Bombyx mori: one gene and its partner. The protein of the gene in region 2 interacts with the protein of the main gene of each other region in a pairwise test. Links are inferred from orthologs where the notes say so. Each region holds a gene or a part of one and is shown on either strand. Other genes may lie near its edges. The genes, in order: RING finger and CHY zinc finger domain-containing protein 1 and histone acetyltransferase Tip60.

The links.
Region 1: the proteins of histone acetyltransferase Tip60 (region 2) and RING finger and CHY zinc finger domain-containing protein 1 interact in a two-hybrid assay, tested with the Homo sapiens proteins (2 studies listed by BioGRID). The link is inferred for Bombyx mori from reciprocal best matches to the Homo sapiens genes KAT5 and RCHY1.

Annotation. Positions count from the first base shown.
Region 1 is NC_085125.1:12,756,797-12,760,330, forward strand, and holds part of RING finger and CHY zinc finger domain-containing protein 1, read left to right. Parts: coding exon 1-105; intron 106-1,706; coding exon 1,707-1,889; intron 1,890-2,445; coding exon 2,446-2,541; intron 2,542-3,534. UniProt on the Homo sapiens protein: E3 ubiquitin-protein ligase that mediates ubiquitination of target proteins, including p53/TP53, TP73, HDAC1 and CDKN1B. Mediates ubiquitination and degradation of p53/TP53; preferentially acts on tetrameric p53/TP53.
Region 2 is NC_085124.1:9,217,330-9,221,748, reverse strand, and holds the start of histone acetyltransferase Tip60, read right to left. Parts: upstream 2,985-4,419; 5' UTR 2,897-2,984; coding exon 2,852-2,896; intron 2,780-2,851; coding exon 2,653-2,779; intron 2,163-2,652; coding exon 2,010-2,162; intron 1,585-2,009; coding exon 1,450-1,584; intron 738-1,449; coding exon 586-737; intron 124-585; coding exon 1-123. UniProt on the Homo sapiens protein: Catalytic subunit of the NuA4 histone acetyltransferase complex, a multiprotein complex involved in transcriptional activation of select genes principally by acetylation of nucleosomal histones H2A and H4.

The DNA of each region.
Region 1 (3,534 bases), on a different chromosome or scaffold from region 2:
TGCGACGGATGCGGCATATGTCGTGTAGGAGGCCGCGATAGGTTCTTCCATTGTGAACGCTGCAACATGTGCCTGCCTGTTCAGCTGCAAAGGGTCGGACATAGGGTGAGTCAATTGAAAACTAATCTGAGTGCAGTAATCCTCCAAAAATCCATTAACAGTGCTTTTAGGTCCCACAAGCACCAATCACCGCCCTCGCCGAACCCGTCTTGCGACGAAGGGCTCGACGAGCGAATTAACCCATAGACACAGCCCAGTGAGTTTCTCGCCGGATCTTCTCAGTGGGTCGCGTTTCCGATCTGGCGGTAGATTCTGCGAAGCACAGCTCTTGCAAGGGTCAGTGTCAGCAACACTCCAGTTTGAGCCCCATGACCTCACCTACATGTTAGCAAAGCTGAAATAACCTCTTAAGGCTATCAGTATAGGTAAGAAAAAAAAAGCAGTAGTCCCTAAAGTATTTGTCTGATATTCATTCTGATGTAATGACAGGATTGTCAAAACAAAATTTAGATGTTTAAAATTGGCTGTCTCTCTATAGCAAGGACTCCCAAACTTATTTTGTCTACTGCCCACTTTGAGAATAAATTATTTTTTGGCGCCCCCATTTTTTCACCTACTTAAAAACGAAAAAATACTTTATCTGTCAGCACTCATCATCAAGTGGGCCGTGTGCTCGTCTGCCTACAAATAATTACGTTTCCCGCGTCCATATTCCATACTATACAGGCTCTCTGCTTATAACCGAAGTTACAAGACACGCCCCCAAAAAATATGTGTTTTTTATAACAACATTTTTACAACACATCAATACATAGATCCTATTAGTGCCTTAAGTCCTTTCTATTAATAATACGAGCGCGATTCAGAAAATGAGCAACGCCATCTATTGATAATATTATTAAAACGGTTGCATGTATTTTGGGCGCGCATTTCTCTACACATCCCTATCCCTACTAATATATAAATGTGAATGTAAGTTTGTTTGTTACGCTTTTACGCGAAAACTACTCAACCGATCATCATGAAACTTTGTACACATATTCTTGGAGGTATTAGAAGTAACATAGGATACTTTTTATTAAGATAAATTAAAAAATTGTTTGTCAAAAAATCTGAAAATCTAACTTCTTCAACGCCACCTACAAAAATTTTATATTTACTCAGTACTAAGTACTAATAAACGAAGTTTTATCATTTAAAATTCAGATTATTAGTAATATTCTCATTCTTTATAAATCTGCTTTAAAATATAGAATATCGTAGCTATCCGAACAAAGTTATTTCAGCTTCTCAAACCGGAAATGTTGCTAACACTGGCCCAAGCAAGAGCAGTACTTCGATGGATCAGTAGGATCCGTAATGACGTATTTAGGGCCGATTTTTGTAGTTTACCTGAATATTTGACAGACTTAGATTTAGCTGCCTTTGATTTTATAAGCCTCACTTCTTCTCTATATTCTCTATAAGTGTGGAAAATTTCATATTCCTCCGTCCGCGCAATTTTCGTAAAAAGGGATACAAAGTTTTTGCTTCACGTATTAATATATAGATTATAATATCTTGCACTGCACCAAAATTCGTATGTCAAATAATGACCAAGCATACACGTTGCTTTTAACTTATGTAATAACTCATTTTCTATATGCTTAGCGAATAAATGTTTTCTTTCTTTCTTTTTTTCATTCTTTCTTTACTATGTCCCGCAGTGCGTAGAGAACGTGTCCCGTTCGAACTGCCCCGTGTGCCTGGAGGACATCCACACGTCCCGCATCCCGTGCCACATCCCGGACTGCGGCCACCTGCTGCACCGGCCCTGCTTCGAGCAGCTGCTGCACTCCGGCCACTACGCGTGCCCCACGTGCCAGACGAGCATGATCGACATGTCGAATGTGAGTTTCATCCGGGTCTAGTCGGTGTCAGTCCTCTTGTCTATTGTCCTGAAGCTCCAGCTAATGGCAATGTCATTAAACTAAAGGCTCTTTGATCTCTCTGTCTCTCTCTTCGTGTAGGTGAATGTTGGTAGGACACATGCTACTTGCCATATGCATCAATGTTGAATGTGTGACTAGTGTCCCCGATGCCAACAATTTTACATTCTAAATTATTAAGGATGGATGTTGGGAAATAATCATCTTATTATTATAGAATAGGGATCGCAGCGCATAAAATAAAATTTCTACTGTCCCAAAATCTTGTGTTATAATAATAATTAAAAATTAATTAACACTTATTATGTCTTCGCCATCTTCCTTTTTCTCTGTTATTCTGTGTGTCATTCTCTTTTCCCTTTCTTTCCGTTTTCTCTCACTTAAATCACATCTTAACGCTCCGTTCCACGCTCTTTTCATACGTTCCGTTCTTAATAATCCTACATTATTATTAGCATGTCCGGATAGGTATCAGGCGCTCTAAGAAAGTACTTAAGGTGAAGTTGTTTTGTTGCAGCTCTGGAATTATCTGGATTCCGAAGTAGCGGCCACACCGATGCCGTCCGAATACGCCGACTACAAGGCCACGATACTGTGCAAGGATTGTCATAAGGTGATAAATAGTATGATATGGAATAAGGCCTGAGGCCTGGAAGAATTAAAGTCAAAGAATCTTTAACCCGTCACAGTAATTAAATTTCTTTGAAAGGTTAATGTAGGTTTAGTCCTTTTTTTTAATAATACTACTAGCAGACAGAAGAAAAAAGGATTTAAAAAATTAATGCAGGCTTATAAAAAAAATTACAGTCTGAATTCCTAATATCACCCTGTGACAGCAGCGCGTATTGTGAGAAAGAGAGAGAGAGTATTATTTATTGTACGCCAAAAAACAAATAAACAGTGCGATACATTAAACACAAAAAAAGTACAATTGGCGATCTTCTCTTCCAGACAACCATCATTGTGCTTAATGCTAGTTTTTTCAACTTCTCGATCGCGTAAAAGCTAACTCAAATTTGTATGGAGTTGGAACAGCGCCTCTAGCGGCAAACGAAGCACTAAGCACACTGAATGTAACGCGTCATAGTTCCATTTCTCCAACATGAAAGACGAAAGTATCGCACCGTACAGCCTAATTTTTTGTACATTCTATTAAATGATACATGATACGTAACATGGAGCCAAAAATAATAGAAATGAAATGAGGTGAAGTTGATTTATTTGAGACTGATCAAAAAAATCTTCTTCAAACGAGGCTTGCGGAGAGTACTTAATTGTAGGCAGCGGCTTGGCTCTGCCCCTGACATTGCTGACGTCCATGAGCGACGGTGACCACTTACCATCAGGCTGTATGACCGTCTGCCTACAAAGGCAATAAAAAAGGGATTGAATTAAATGAAACAAGATGAGATTGGGTGAAATAAAGTCTCACTAATATGGTGGTTATTTACTGAGAATTCAGTGATATTTTAGCAAGAACCCGAGAAGTTACGTCCAGCTACTTTCAATGACCCACGACGATTAATAAGCTGACGTTGTTACACGATATTAATCCAAAAAATAACACTAAATTAACAAAACAAATCAATTCGTACAATTTAGCTCC
Region 2 (4,419 bases):
GAGATCGTCGTGTCCGTGCGCGACCAGACTGCCGGACTGTCGCGGGCGCGCCGTCGGCGTCGCCGTGCCGCTGGCCGTCGCGTCCGCTTCACCTTCTTGTGACGGCTCCGAATGTAAACTGACCTATATGAGACAAACATTACCTCTGATAGTGTCGTGGCGTGCAACCTCTTTGACAGGACATAAGACCTACAACGACTAGACATAGACAAAGAAGTCGTCGTGGCCTAAAGGTTATAAGACGTCCGGTGCATTCGTGTTGAGCGATGCACCTGTGTTCGAATCCCGCAGGCGGGTACCAATTTTTCTGATGATAATTCGTACTCAACAAATGTTCACGATTGACTTCCACGATGGAGGAATAACATCGTGTAATAAAAGTGAAACCCGCAAAATTATAATTTGTAGGGTGGTGCAGCCATTGTAACTATACTGAGATCTTAGAACTTATATTTCAAGGTGGGTGGCGCATTTACGTTGTAGATGTCTATTGGCTTCAGTAACCACTTAACACCAGGTGGGCTGTGAGCTCGTCCACCCATCTAAGCAATAAATAAATAAAAAATATTAATATTGATATTTTACGTCATTATCCAAAGAGGGCGGTTTGCGTTTTCTGTTCATCTTTTTCTGTAAGGCTGCTGCGAGGACAGCTCCTCCATTGACCAGTGACGAAGAATCATTTACCAGAGTCGGACTGGCGGGTCGGGACACCAACTGTCTTGGTTCAACCACAGCTGTGCAGAAAACCGGGAATGTAGTATTTTAAATTAAGAGTGATTTGACACAATACTGCAGCATTTCACATTAATAGGGCTTCACGTCAATAGAATTACAATATTTCTTTCAATAAATAAACGCCAAAATTAAACAATTGCTTCATTATAATTGCTATTTTTAAAGTATAATCTGTCGTTTTTTACTGTAGTTATGAATAATTTACTGTTTTCTATGTCACGGATGACTCGTCATACACAGTTAAGACATTAAGGTATAAAAGTAGCCTTAATTATATTTACGACTGGCGAAAACCGAAGAAAATACTAAATTGCTTAGTTGTCACATTAATTGGTAATAATTACTAACATGATCATTATATGTTAATCAAATATTACCATGACAGAAAATATTCATATTCAATATATGGACTATGGTATTACTGGTTCTCACAACTGAGCTTCAAACGTGCTTATAAGGGAACAAGAAACTATTATTATTTCTAAGCTTACAACTTGATGGCTACTAAGCTGTTGACATGTTGAATAATATGTTGGTAACTAAACAATCATTTGGAATAACATCAATGATGCTCACATTATACATACCAGTAGCTACTACTGCTACTGTTTAAAAGTACAAAAAATAAATTTATTGTTTTAAGAATAAAAGCATGACATATCTACCTAAATAAAAGCATATTACACAAAATAAATTATTATGGTACATTACCAAGTGCATTTTTTTGTGCGGAACCATTGAGTGCATTGCTAAAATGGGCCTTTTCATGTGTTTTGGGTTGGGTCAGTTGATTTGTTATAGTTCTAGCATTACTAGACTTCTGATTCTCATTGCAGACTGTGTCATCTGCAGACAAAATTTTGTTTTTATTGCCAATTGGTTGATCATGGATGTTTGGTAACACAAACTAACCTACACTTGGCACGAGACATTGTACTGGGCAAAACAAAGAATCATACAGTAACAAAATAAAAGTACAAATATATTCTACTATATTAATTATAGCATTCAAGACAACATCAACTAAAGCTAGAATTATAACACATTAAAGTTTGGACTCTATTTGTTTTACTGCTTTTATCCAGTCCAACATGAACTGTCGGGTGGAGGAAAAATAGCAAGTAATAGTAGAGAGTAATAGTAGAGTAATATAAATCATGCAATTTATTACCAAATCCCATTCTTTATCTGTGAAGTTGAACTTTGAATTGTTTAAAATTAAGTGAAATGACCATAACAATTAATTAAGCTCTAAAAACAAAGACACATACTAATAAAAGTAGGCATAACGCCACCTCCTGATCCAATGAGTGTTTTCTTTGGAGTAGTTGTACCACCTGTTGCTGTTCCATCCCGTCGAGGGAATTGGACTTTACGAGTGTCCAACCAAGATTCACCCACCCATTCATCGAGACGTTTATTAACTGAAAAATTTTTTATGTTTAAGTCTAATTTCAAAAAAATTAAGCACTTCATGAAAAACAGGAGAAAATCTTTTTATTCTGTTAGTACATACGTATGCAAGCTTACAAGACACCCTATCACAAGTGTTCTTTGCTTTTTCTGCTACTAAATTGGATTTTAGTCCATTTACCACCCTTTGGTTTTTTAAATTAAGATCTCAATTAGACATGTGCCTTTGTAGAACATTTTTAAGTATCCTTTAAGTTCAATCTACTAGATTGTTTATCAATTACACATATGATAACAAGCTCACATTAGTTATAAATTTATAAAATGTCTCAACATAGGTAAGTAGCTTTATTTTAGAAATTTCCCATATATATAACAAAACTAAAGCTTATAGATATAGGTAATTAGCTGCTAATCTAGCATCACAGTCAATTTCTTATCAATGTTACACACAATTTTTCCAAAATGAATAACAAACATACCCGTTCATTATTTACTCACAATCAACATAATGCACGTAAAATCCTCTTTGGCCCTGAACTTCTTTAATACTTATAATTTCGGCGAGTGGCCAGTCGTCTCCTCCTTGCATACGAACAGGAAGACGGCATCCCTCAACAAGCGATGACTAAAACAAAAAGATGATAAATTAATCTCACGGTATTATATCACATATATATTCTAAATAAGCGGAAATCACCGTTGAATCACAAAATGTTGTCAATTCATCATCATTTTCGTTCATTTTAAAATAATAATATTATTTTTTCACAAAAATAGCTATTTGCTTTGAATGCTTAGCTGTCATTGCTGTCAATATCAAAGTAATCAGATTGCAGTCAATCTGACATTAAATAGGCAAAGGGAATATTATTCATAAGTGATTAGTCTAGTAGGTAACGAAAATTGAAATGTAATAAATATTGAGAGTTCAAGCGTCTACCGATTATGTATTATTTAGCGCTTACGTAAATCTGCAGATACCAATCATTGATATGTTTTTTTAGCTATTTCGTAATGCATATATGGGCGAATGTGCTCGTGAGTCACAGCTTACCTTGTCTCAAATAGTTACCGGAACACAAATATATAATAGCAATGTAAAAAGTGTAATGGAACGAAATGAAATTATATCAATTCACTAATTCCTTACTTTGCTTTGGATCATTTGTATCGCATTCGGCTCAAAAGGTTGAACTACTCATTGTGTAAAAGAAGTGATTCTGTTTTGCTGGTTTTGACCTAGCGGAGTATCTCGGGAGTATTAACGGCCCTATCCAAGCGGGAGGGATTAGAGAACCGCTGGTCGTCTTGACAAACGTCAAACTGATGAGCCGTGATGTGAGGCACCGAGAAGAGATGCGCCGTTGGGTTGTTGAGTAAAAGCAGGTTTTGTTAATTTCCTCGTGCGCTAAAACTGGATTACATGATTTTTTGAGAATCAAATCTTATTTGATTCTCAAAAAATCTTAATACACACGAATAAGATAGAAATTAAGCCATAGAGTAATGGAACCCTTCAATCGCGTGATCGAAGATCAGAGTGTCTCGAATGGCTTATAGATGTTGTCATTGGCGACATGGGCACGTGGAGAAAGTCTAGGCTTTCTACTAGGCAGTATTAAAACCCTAATAATTTTGTCTAGCAGTCTGTGGTGAACCCCGCTAGAGGAAATAATTACATTTGTAAACTTTTCGCGGGTTCCATTTAATTTTTTACACGTTGTCATTCTTTTAACGCAGAAGTTGCTTATGAACATGTGTTAGAAGCAAATTTTATTTTATTTTGTTCTGAAGATGTTGTCGAGAGCAACTTTGGATAAGTTATAGATAGACTTTTCGCTCCATTAACTCCTCGCTCCATAGACACCAATAACAAAAATCGTTTTTTTATGTTTGAGAAATAGCTGTTGGAAGTCTATCCAGTTTCACCAGGACACGTGGGCGAGCAAAGGTTCAGCCAGGAGAGGTGGGAATAAGCACGTTTAGCTGGGCTGTGAGCCGTAGCCCGTGGATTGGGTAGCCCTGTCGAGATCGTAGGCTAACTCAGTTAACTTCAAAGGAAAAACTAACCTTGTTTTATACACATTATTATTTAACGTGTTCTTACCAAGAATGAACATTTACCTAATGAGTTCCCGATAGGTATGTCCTGTTGCAAGCGCCTTGATCACGAGTAGACTGAAGACTGCGGGTAAAATGTTAGGAGCAGAACTGTCCACATTCTTTATAGTCTGTGTTTGGATCTACTGGAACTCAATGATCACC